Linked DNA regions of Arabidopsis thaliana. The protein of the gene in region 2 interacts with the protein of the main gene of each other region in a pairwise test. Each region holds a gene or a part of one and is shown on either strand. Other genes may lie near its edges.

The links.
Region 1: the proteins of PIP2;8 (region 2) and AT3G59780 interact in a protein complementation assay, tested with the Arabidopsis thaliana proteins (one large-scale study listed by BioGRID).

What each region holds. Positions count from the first base shown.
Region 1 is NC_003074.8:22,084,235-22,091,034, reverse strand, and holds AT3G59780 (Rhodanese/Cell cycle control phosphatase superfamily protein), read right to left. Parts: upstream 4,703-6,800; 5' UTR 4,477-4,702; intron 4,372-4,476; 5' UTR 4,130-4,371; coding exon 4,085-4,129; intron 3,922-4,084; coding exon 2,914-3,921; intron 2,818-2,913; coding exon 2,717-2,817; intron 2,618-2,716; coding exon 2,503-2,617; intron 2,352-2,502; coding exon 2,274-2,351; intron 2,107-2,273; coding exon 2,014-2,106; intron 1,903-2,013; coding exon 1,819-1,902; intron 1,726-1,818; coding exon 1,627-1,725; intron 1,515-1,626; coding exon 1,452-1,514; intron 1,376-1,451; coding exon 1,345-1,375; intron 1,235-1,344; coding exon 1,188-1,234; intron 1,105-1,187; coding exon 1,046-1,104; intron 949-1,045; coding exon 711-948; 3' UTR 506-710; downstream 1-505. Other genes in the region: SAC9 (sacI homology domain-containing protein / WW domain-containing protein), read left to right, coding at 5,361-5,379, 5,473-6,068, 6,190-6,322, 6,433-6,800.
Region 2 is NC_003071.7:7,299,653-7,304,268, reverse strand, and holds PIP2;8 (plasma membrane intrinsic protein 2;8), read right to left. Parts: upstream 2,936-4,616; 5' UTR 2,623-2,935; coding exon 2,343-2,622; intron 2,114-2,342; coding exon 1,818-2,113; intron 1,445-1,817; coding exon 1,304-1,444; intron 1,209-1,303; coding exon 1,089-1,208; 3' UTR 760-1,088; downstream 1-759. Other genes in the region: AT2G16860 (GCIP-interacting family protein), read left to right, coding at 1-130. UniProt on the Arabidopsis thaliana protein: Aquaporins facilitate the transport of water and small neutral solutes across cell membranes.

The DNA.
Region 1 (6,800 bases), on a different chromosome or scaffold from region 2:
TTTTTAAAGAGAAGAAACGTTTTCACTCGTCGTCAACTTCATTGATATGGCTTCAGCAGCTGAGTGAAGTGTACGAATACGGTCAATCAAGTTAGCTTTCCTCACATTCAAGGCCAAACAAAACTCGATAGGAAGAATGTAAACAGACACCACTAACAACTGGGAATGTGATGAACTAATTAAAAGGATACAAATCTAACAACAAACCGATACTTTGGAGTGTTGTATTTGTTCTTGTCTTGATTAATAAGACGGATTCTGGCACGATTATCAGTCTTGCCATCTATATTAAGAAAACACGAGAACTGTCACAACAAAATGTTAGCTTTTGATTAAACAAAAAATAAATGTTTCTATCTGTGTAGAATGATTACCTCTTCTTCTCCTGGATTTGACCTGACCCCTGAGTCAAGGATGACGATTGCTTTTTCACTAAACCCTAAGTATGCCACTTTAAGGCCTTCTGTTATTGGGCCTAAAGCCCAAAGTTATTAGGGGAGAAATTGCTGTAATAATTTTACGTGTAACCTATAACTTTTGACCCAATTTAGCTAGTTCTAAATTTGCAAAACAAATCTCAGCATCCGAACGAAAAGAAAACAGTTTTTTTTTATTACACTTTTTCTGTTGCCGATGTTAACGGTTCCAAGAGACGAACAAAAGTAATTCTTGGCAATTATAAGAAAAATAGAAAACAATTTTCAGAGTCTTTACGCTTCGGAGACATCAACGTTGTTCAAAGCTTCTTCTGGTGACGATGATGCATCTTGGAGACTTTCAGAAGTTTCATCAGAGGGTTTCGATTCATGCTTAGCAGCAGCTTGCAAAACCCGGCTTCGAACATCTGAAGAAGAAGGCGAAGTTGGGAGGCCAACACCATTTGTTTCTAGTTTTCCTGCAGCCCACGAGAAAGCCTGAGCTCCGAGTTTCACAGGTGCAAGCAACAGCCTTGAAGAAGAAGATGAAACAATCTTTGTTAAGACAGAACAGAGGTTTCGCTGAGTTTTTGCTATGGAAAAAGGGTCTAATGATGGCGCTTTTATACCTGACGTCTTGTTTGAAGTCTTCGGAGTCATCATATGAAGAAAGTCGTAGGTATATAGTCTGCATAATGTTTGAAACTTGAAAAACAAAACAAAGCAACTATAATTTGACAAAACTTAGAAACTGGAAAGGCTAGTATATACCAGACTAAGGCCGATGACAGCTATGAGTTGCAGTGTTTTCTCCCACTCTGCGAGAGATAGAGCAATCATGTTAGTGCAAAACGTGGATGTGAGGAGCTTGTGTGTTGTGGAGAATATGAGATATTCTAAAGGGGAAATGAGAAAGAATTAAACGCACCAGACAAAGCATACAATGCTGCGAAAAAACCCTGCATATATCTTCTTATATTAGTCAGGATGGGATTATTATTAAACGGAAATAGAAAAATAGAACTAGAAGCATACCACACCAACTCCAAATAGTTGCAATGGAGAGGGATTTATGTCCTCAAAAATCGCCTCAGCTTCCTGAAAAGCATTTAAGATATGTTTAACTTACTGATGAAAAGATTTGAGAGCAGTTTCAATTTCATCTAGCTGAAGAAACAGTCCAAACATATTTGTATTCATATGGTATTACCTCGTTGAGGATGGTAAGTGTTGTCTCAGGTTTTGGCTCTTTCACACGAAGACCTTCCTGTACCCATGATCTATACCCACCTTGCATCAAGTATGGCCTCTGTCACATCATAGGCAACCAAAGAAGAGCTTATTCGAAAATGTTTAAAGGTAACTTATTGTGTTCAAAGTGAATTATGCCTGAATGACTTGCCTTAATCCCAACTTTTCTCAGGGCTCTTGCAATACCCTTTGAACGAGTTCCATCAGCATCCATAACAACAACCTTGGACCTGTCCTATTAGTGGGAGAGTAAGCAAAATTATGAGATGTCAGCATACTTAGAAACTGAAACAGCTCGAGCCACAAAACCATAGTAAGTTACAAAAGAAGCATGAAGGTAGCACACCTGAACTATTTTCAAGTTCTTGATGATTACTGCTGTCAAGATATCATCTACTTCACTTCCACCTTTCAGTAGCCGTTTGACATCACCGTCAACCTTAAACATGAATCAAGAACAAGAACCCATAAAAAATGTGAATAAAGAAAAGTCTGATATCCTACTTCTGTTGCACTGATTGCTGAAACCTCGTTGTGTTCATAGATTACATGTGTAGAGTTTCTATATTCGCTGTGGTCAACAACAATGAGGATGCTAAAACCAACCTCAGGCAGTGTCACGCTAGAATATCGAAATCGAGCTGATCTCCGCAGATCAGGTATTCCATCTTTCTCTCTCAAGGCCTTCAAAAAGACAGTAGCCAAAATGAGCATTTTTATTTCAACCCAAACTCCTTGATGAACATTATGTGAAAGAAATAATCAAATTGTGGTGGGTTTTGAAAAGTTATATATCATGAAATGGGAACTTGTTAGAAACTTAAGAGCGTCTTACTTCAGGCCTGACATCTATGAGCACTGACTTGTCTCTTGATTTTAAAAGGTCCAGAGTTGACTTGGGAGACAAATCTCCAGCATATCCACCATATGTCCAAACCCGATATAGAACCCTGCAAATATCTGGTGGAAAATATAAATTCTTCTATACTACATTGTCCTCTCAAGAAAAGCAAGTTTAATATCCTTCTAGGGTAAGAAAAGCCGTGTACCAAAAGGTTCCTGTGGTGCCTACGAAGAGAAAAAGGTGAAGGATTGGGTCATCTGGATCCAAACCGATATTTCTCTCCAAACCTCCAATGGCAACAGATACCTGTTCATCATGATACTGTTAGCAACTGTAGTCCATAAAGAATTAATTTTCTTCTACGAAAATATGAATGAACCTTCAGTATATAAGACAAAGCACCTGCTGCAATACAGCTCCCACGGGACTCAATACTTTTAGAGCAACATCTTCTGACGAGTTAAGGGCACTCTTTACATCTGGAGGAAGTAATTCTTTTGCTGATCCATAAGAGTACACAACAAAAGAAACTCCATTTGTTACAGATCTCTCTCCAAGACTAACTGATTGCCTCAGCAGATCAATGGCAATAACAGCTGCTCTGTTTGAAGCTTCCTTCAAGCCAGTAGAAAAACTCGAAAACTTGTCTCCAGCTACATCTCCCGTTTGGTCTAGCGTAGAAAACGCTCTGTTAACTGCACTATCTACAACTTCAGAAGCATTCTTTGTAATGGATGTCACAGACGAGGAGAAGGACTCCAAAGTGTTCTTTACAGCATTTTCTCCTTGGTTAAGTGAAGAGCTGAAGGACTCCTTGACCCCAGAAGAAAAGTCATCAACGCTAGCTTTCGCATCAGGAAGTGAAGAGCTGAAGGACTGCTTGAGCCCAGAAGAAAAGTCATCAAAGCTAGCTTTCGCATCAGGAAGTGAGACTGAACTATCCGGAGATATTTTAACAGTCGCATTGGTTCCCGATTCAACAGAGTCTATAAGGCTACTGGTCTTATCGGTTAAAGTCTCAGCAGAAAGGCATTCAATGGGGGAAACATCTGGTACAACAGCTTCAACAGGAGAAACATCTGCTGCAACAGCTTCAACAGGGAACACATCTTCTCCATTTTCTACATATGTCAGTCCCTCATCACTCGCTACAAAAGCTTCACTCATGTTATAAACCATGTAGTTTATTCTGTCCAACTCATTCTGGCACAAACTTCCGAATGTTGATACTGGTTGTTCTGTTTTTTCGATAGTACCGGTCAAGAAACTCCCAGTGGCTTGAGGTACGAAACTCTTCTGCAGGCGTGTTCCATTAGAGATACCAAAGAAGGCATTGTCACCTGAACTGTATCTGTGAATCAACTCTCTCCTGAAGGAAGAACAGCCTCGCCAATTGCCAGGAAATAAAATCTGCAGAAACAAACCCGTTATGAGGTACTTACTTATCTATGAAAATGAATCCAAAAACCCAAAGCACTAACAAAGCGTAACACCCATAGCTCAAATTGGATGACTTCAATAAATTTGCTACCAGTTAGCTTATTTACTTTCACTTCTATAAAGAAAATCTAACCTGAGAATGGTAACGGCAGCTTGTGGCCGAGCACAGGGGAAACATGTTGGTCAGTCTTGGATTCTTACAGCAATCTCATAGCTTTCACAACATACCAGAAAAGGAACAAAAAAATACAATTTCAAAGAGAAAATGACGATCCAGTAAATCTGAACCGGAATAAAGAACGTCCTAATGAGAACAAAACAAAAATCACAGACCAAGAAGAAACAGTGTCTCAACAAGAAGAAGATTCAGACAAAAAAGACTCCAGCAGCAGATTTACAATAATGGGTGTCGTCTGAAACCTGCAACAAGAATACCCATTATTCAATTACTGAGTCTGAGCATGTTTGGAACCTTGAACAACAGAAGCAGTTCAAAGAGAGATCAAATGCAGTAACTTTAATAACCTATCAGGGTCAAGGTCGATGATGATGAAGTTTCATGAGAAGAGTGGACTGAGCTTGATGAAATATGTTAATGGCGACTCGATTGAAAAAAGATAGAGGCGCGTGGATTCGATAGAGATTGTGTCTCAATTTGGATTGGGTGGAGCAAGATAAGCAAAGCGAATCGTGTGGCTTGTCCAAAGCCGTTAATTCATCATCTCTATACTTTATTTTGTCTTTTCTTTTGATTGGGTCTATTCGTTACATTTTAAAACTAATTGGACCAATTTTCAAGTTATCAATAATTTCTTCTCTTTTTTCATAAATCAATTAAACAGATTCACACGTGTCGTACTATGATTGTTTTTGTACTGTGTGTTGGGTAACAGCAGATTTACTCTTCTTCCTCTTCGTTTGTTCGTCTACGAACGACTTGGTAAATTTTGCATCTGATCATCTCTACAACTTCAAGGTGAGTTCCTTCTCTTATGACTTATGATTCGATTCGGGTTCTCTGAAGAATTTATCTTTCTGCTTTCTCGGAATTTGAATTATCGATTTGCGTCTTTAATTTTGCTATTCTCGGAAAAAGTCTCAGATCTCTGGTACTCGTTTTTTTTATTACTTCTATCGAAATTTGTGAGAAAATTCTGATCTTTTGTCTCAGTTATATCGGAGATTATTGTTAGGAAGATGATCTCTCTGTTTTGATTTTAATTGGCGTTGATGAATCGTTTTAAGTATAGAACTAACTATGCTACATTTTTTGGATTCCATTGCTTTTTATTTCTCTGATGGAAGTTCCTTATTTCGTTGACTTTTTGCTAGATTTTTGGTTCCACATTGATATCTTGGTCCCTGAAGCTGTCAAAGAGGGCACCTGGTCCGCTTGGTCCTGAGCTCAGATGGATCTGCATCCACCAGGTTAGTTTCTTTTTGAAGATTCAAGTGTTTTTTTTTTTCACTCTAGCTGTTTTCATCATTTGGTTGGCTAATTTTCTTATCTTCTTGGTGTAGGTGGTTCAAAAAAGACATCTGTAGTTGTTGTCACCTTAGACACTGGTGAAGTCTATGTCATTGCAAGTTTGTTATCTAAGGCTGATACTCAAGTTATCTATATCGATCCTACGACTGGTATCCTGCGGTACAATGGGAAGCCTGGCCTTGATAATTTTAAGTCAGAGCGTGAAGCCTTAGATTATATTACGAATGGATCAAGAGGAGGTGTTAGAAGCTCTGTTTATGCCAGGGCAATACTCGGTTATGCTGTCTTGGGGAGCTTTGGGATGCTTTTAGTTGCGACCAGGCTAAATCCAAGTATTCCAGATTTGCCTGGTGGTGGATGTGTATATACAGTGGCTGAGAGTCAATGGGTCAAAATACCACTCTACAATCCACAGCCTCAAGGGAAAGGTGAAACCAAGAATATTCAGGAGTTGACTGAGCTTGACATCGACGGGAAGCACTATTTCTGTGATACTAGAGACATCACTCGGCCCTTCCCAAGCCGTATGCCACTTCAAAGCCCTGATGATGAATTTGTTTGGAATAGATGGTTGTCCGTGCCTTTTAAGAATATTGGGCTACCTGAACACTGTGTCATTCTTCTGCAGGTTCGTCCTCCATTAATGAATTGATGAAGGTTGATCTACCTATCCGATTTCGGTTTTGTGTGAAGATTCAAAAGCATATAAATTGATATGACATCATCTTCTTATTTGATGTTAATTATAGGGGTTTGCAGAATATCGACCTTTTGGGAGCTCAGGCCAGCTAGAAGGGATTGTTGCTCTAATGGCCCGTCGTAGCAGACTGCATCCAGGGACTCGTTACCTAGCTAGGGGCATTAATTCATGTTCTGGCACAGGTGACATGCCCCCCTAAAATGCTCCTCTCTCTTAATTTCTTTGTTGTTCTCTTAAAAAGTGTGGCTCTGGATTGACTAGGGCCTAATTTAGAAGTATATGTGTAGTGCAGGTAACGAAGTTGAGTGTGAGCAGCTTGTATGGATACCTAAAAGAAATGGTCAAAGCATTGCTTTCAACTCGTACATTTGGCGACGTGGCACCATACCAATATGGTGGGGTGCAGAATTAAAGATGACTGCGGCAGAAGCAGAAATTTATGTGGCAGATAGGGATCCTTATAAAGGCAGTACAGAGTATTACCAAAGGTTAAGCAAGCGATATGATACTAGGAATCTAGATGCACCTGTTGGAGAAAACCAGAAGAAAAAGGCTTTTGTTCCTATTGTGTGCGTTAATTTACTAAGAAGTGGAGAAGGGAAATCAGAATGTATCTTAGTACAACATTTTGAAGAATCGATGAACTTTATCAAATCCAGT
Region 2 (4,616 bases):
GGAAGAGAAGGATATCGATTCCATCAACGACAGAAACGAGCATTTCAACAAGAAAATCGAGCGTGCGTTTGGGAAATACACGCTGGAGATCAAAAACAACTTGGAACGAGGAACTGCATTACCCGACTAAGCTACTTGAGCTCACATGTTGGAAACAAGGGAATGGATTTCTGGTTCGAAAGTAAACTATGCTGTTGTCTGATTAATTGTCCTTAAATTATCCTTCTTGAGAGAACTAAATTGTAGAATGAACGTTTCTTTAGCCCACTTTGAAATTCAAACAAAATTTCTGTACCAGCTCTCGCTAGAGAGAACAAACGGTAACAAGAAAAAAGTTTTAGCTTTTTACTTTTTCTCTTTGTTTCTTTGTCAAAAATAGAATCAGCTGATGTAGCCAAACTCGAGGACACACAACTTTGGTAAAAGAAAATGTTTTGAAGAAATCTGCTTAAATTTAAGGTTTGGGTACGAATTCCGGTTATTATCGAGATGGATAGACTAATGTGTAAAGTGGTCTATGGTGAAGAGTGTGGACCCTTTAGTGTGGTGGTCCTTTATCTTTTTCTCTTCATCTCCGTCTGCTTTCGAGCCCTTTTCGAAATTTTTGACCTCTTTATCAGAAGGACCACACACACTTCTCTGTCTCTACAATTCTGAAAAGACGAGACGTGATAATGCTTATTGCTAAACTCCAATCCTTATTGCATGCCCCAAGGCTTTAGCTATTATAGTCTATTATTATTCTAACTAAGGAACATGTGTCAATATGTCATATGTGAGTGGTTTATGATCCGACCACCGGATAAGAAGAATCAAGTAACATAAGACAAAAACACCAAGGAATGTTTTATACGAACATGCATGTGGGTTCATATAAACTTGTAACAAATGTTTTAATTCGTACTAAAGTATAAAAGTGAATCATAAGATGCCCTACATGAAAGAAAGCAACGGACAAAGATGAATTAAACCAAATTAAACTATGAAAATGAATAAATCCGATTACATCAAATTAAAACACACAAATATCTCTCATTAAGCACACAAAAAAAAAGATCTCAAATTGTTCTAAGAAGTCTCATGAATCATCAATTGGTTGGGTTGCTGCGGAATGAAGCCAAAGCTTTGATTGCTGCAGCTCTCAAGATATATTGATGGTATGCTGCTGCTGCTAATGCTCCCACGAATGGTCCAACCCAAAAGATCCACTAAAAATTCAAATCCATTAACCCAAAACTTAATTAGTAATTATTCAACAAAAAAATAAGTAAATTGATTGTTAATGAGAGAGAACTATATTTACATGGTCGTCCCAAGCTTTCTCATTGTTGTAGATAACAGCAGCACCAAAGCTTCTGGCTGGATTAATCCCAGTTCCAGTTATGGGGATAGTAGCCAAATGCACCATGAACACAGCAAACCCTATAGGTAACGGAGCCAAAACCTATAAAAATAAAAATATTCAAAAGACTTTTTCAGAAATTAAACAAACCCATGTGAAATCATAAGAAAAAAAATTCAAAAGAATTCAACTTGTTAAAAATTACAAAAATCCATGTCAAACCCTACGATAAATATTCAGAAAAATTCAAGTTTATTAACTACACAAACCTAAATACCTAGAAATATGTTCAAAAATTTCAATCATGAAAAAACAGTAAAGAAAAACCCATCATGAAATCTATGAAAAATTTAGAAAAGAATAACTATTTTTAGAAATTACACAATCACATTTTGAAACCATGAAAGAACAGTAAAAAATTCAGCTTTAGAATAATTATAAATTATACAAAACTGGTTTGCAAAGTTTTACTAACCGGGACGTGAGAGTCACGGGCACTTCTTTTGGGGTCAGTGGCGGAGAAGACAGTGTAAACCAAGACAAATGTGCCAATAATCTCAGCACCAAGAGCAGTTCCGGTGCTATAACCATCAGCTACGGTGTTAGCTCCGCCTCCGAGACGTTTATATGGAGTCATCATAAAGGCCTTAACGAGTCCAACTCCACAAATGGCTCCAAGACACTGAGCCACCATGTAAGCAACTGCTCTAGGGAGCGACACTTTACGAGCCAAGAACAGACCAAATGTCACAGCTGGGTTAATGTGACCTCCTGCAAGTTAACAACTCCATATTAAGTTGTTGAAGATTAAGGTTTAGTAATTTTAGGATAAAGTTTTGTTGAAATATTTTACCAACTTGCTAAAAAGGTATTTTACCAAACAAAAACTTGCTAAAAATGTATCTTTGAATTATAAATGTATCATTGCTAAACAACTTCATATTAAGATCTTGAAACTGAAGTTTATGGAAATTTTTGTGGTTTTTGTGGAAATATTTACCGGAGATACCGGCGGTGCAATAGACGAGGACAAAGATCATGCCACCAAAGGCCCACGCAATGCCGAGTAAACCAACACCGCCACAAGGACCGGTTTGGTTCTTGTGGCCAATGACTGTAGCTACGGTTACATAGAGGAAGAGGAGAGTGGCGATGAACTCTGCGATGATAGCTCTGTAAAAAGACCAGAGCTTAAGCTCAGCCATGTCTAGAAGTGGAGCTGGAGGTGGATCCACGTAGTCTTTGCCATGTCTTCCTTCTTCACTCACTTCTTTTGACATTTTTCTTAGCTCAGCTCTAAGATTTCTCTCTCACTAAAAAGATTAGTTTCTCTCTCTAGTTATGGAGATTTCTTGCATCTTGTGTGTTGCTTTATAAGAAGAGAACATGGAACATAAGGGTACTTTTGGAATATAGGTAATAAATACATTTTGTTTATAATCAAATGGGAGACCTACAAAACCTAAAAGCCAGTCATATCACAATATCCAGGTTTGTTAGGTTTGTAATACTCTGAAGTCTGAACACTCTCATGTAATTGCAATACTCTCAATTTTGTGAAACACACTCCTACATTCTTAAAACCGTTTTCAATCTTACTAGTAATACAAAATACTAATAACCAATGCATGACATAAAAGCTAAATATTGTATGTACTGTAACATTAAATAACATAAATATAATGAAAATAAAACAAAAGCCATGTCGTGTCGTAGCTTTGGTGTAATGAATAAATAAGGTAAAGGAGATTGAGAGTACAAATTGGTGGGACATAGAAGCCGTTGGTCCATGTGAAGGTGAGAGAGATTTGTCATCCAACTAAATGACTAATCACCAACGGTTATATTTCTTTCTTTTCCCTATTACTATATGAACATACTCTCTTTCTTTTGTTTCTTTTTTGGACATAAGTTTCAACTATCTCGTCGTATATTACAAACTATCTGGTGTTTTACAAAAGTTAATTAAGAATTTAAACATTCGTTTCTAACCACTAAGACCATCTCCAATTTGGGCCAGCACTAGCCCGTGCCTACGTGTATGATATTGAAAGATTGGCCTACGGCCTATAATTACTACAAAAAATCAAAGACATATTTTATGAGTAGAAAAACTTGAATCACAGCTTTTTTTTTTGTGTACTATCACAGCTCTTAGTGAAAGAGTTAATGGAAGTTTTCAAAAATAGTAGCTAAAATAAAAAAATATGGAAATATAAGAATAATCAATTGGTAAATATCCTTTTCATTATATTTGTTTCATCTAGTATCATTTTATTTTATTTTCAAAATAAACAAAGCATGTTTTAGAATTTGACAAACCATGCGCAGTTTGTAACTACAGTAAAACCTCTATAAATTAATAATGTCAGGACCAAAATTTTTTTTAATTTAGAGAGATATTAATTTATCGATAAATTAATAATTATTAATTTATGGAGATATTTTACAAATTTGTAATTTTTTACAAAAATTTGATCTAAAAGGTAGTTTCTCTATACACTCAATAATTTTTCTAAAAATCAATTACAAGTAGAAAACCTTTATTATGTTTAAAACAAAAAAAAAACTTTTTTATACGTAGTAAAATAATTAGAATTAAATTTTACACAGAATTAATATAAATTATATAAATTGAAGAAAAATAATACTAAAGTCATATTTTACTAAGTTTTACATAATATTGATGAGACCATATATTTACATAGGATTTTCAAAAAAATTATTATCTTATTAATTTATCGATTTGTATACATTTATACACTGGTCCCAACTCGGGACAGGAAGAATTTATTAATTTATAGAGGTTATTAATTTATCGAATATTAATTTATAGAGGTTTTAAAATAGACTTGAAATTCTAGATTCATAATTATATTTTATTTTGAATTATGTTTTCGATTATTTTTTCTACCCTAGTTACTCTTTTTTTGGAAGATGATGGCTATTAAATTCTTTAACATGAATTGAAGAACGAAGATCCCAGCCTCTATATAGGTATGCCTAGATCTAGTTTGTTAGTATTTGTTTGTTGATCCTGACTTCAAATTCGATTATTCACTGTGATTGCTTTTATGCCTCAAGACACTTGAATCGCATAGATCTTGCTAAATTTGGATATCGAGTATGTAGAATTTTGTTGGATTGATTAGGTTCGGTCGAGATGTCTTTGATATTTATCTGTTCTCCTCAATTTATTTTTGTATAGCAATTAAGCTTTGTACTTACAGAAGCAGCAAGTTGACGCCAAAAGTTAATGACTCGAATTGTGCAT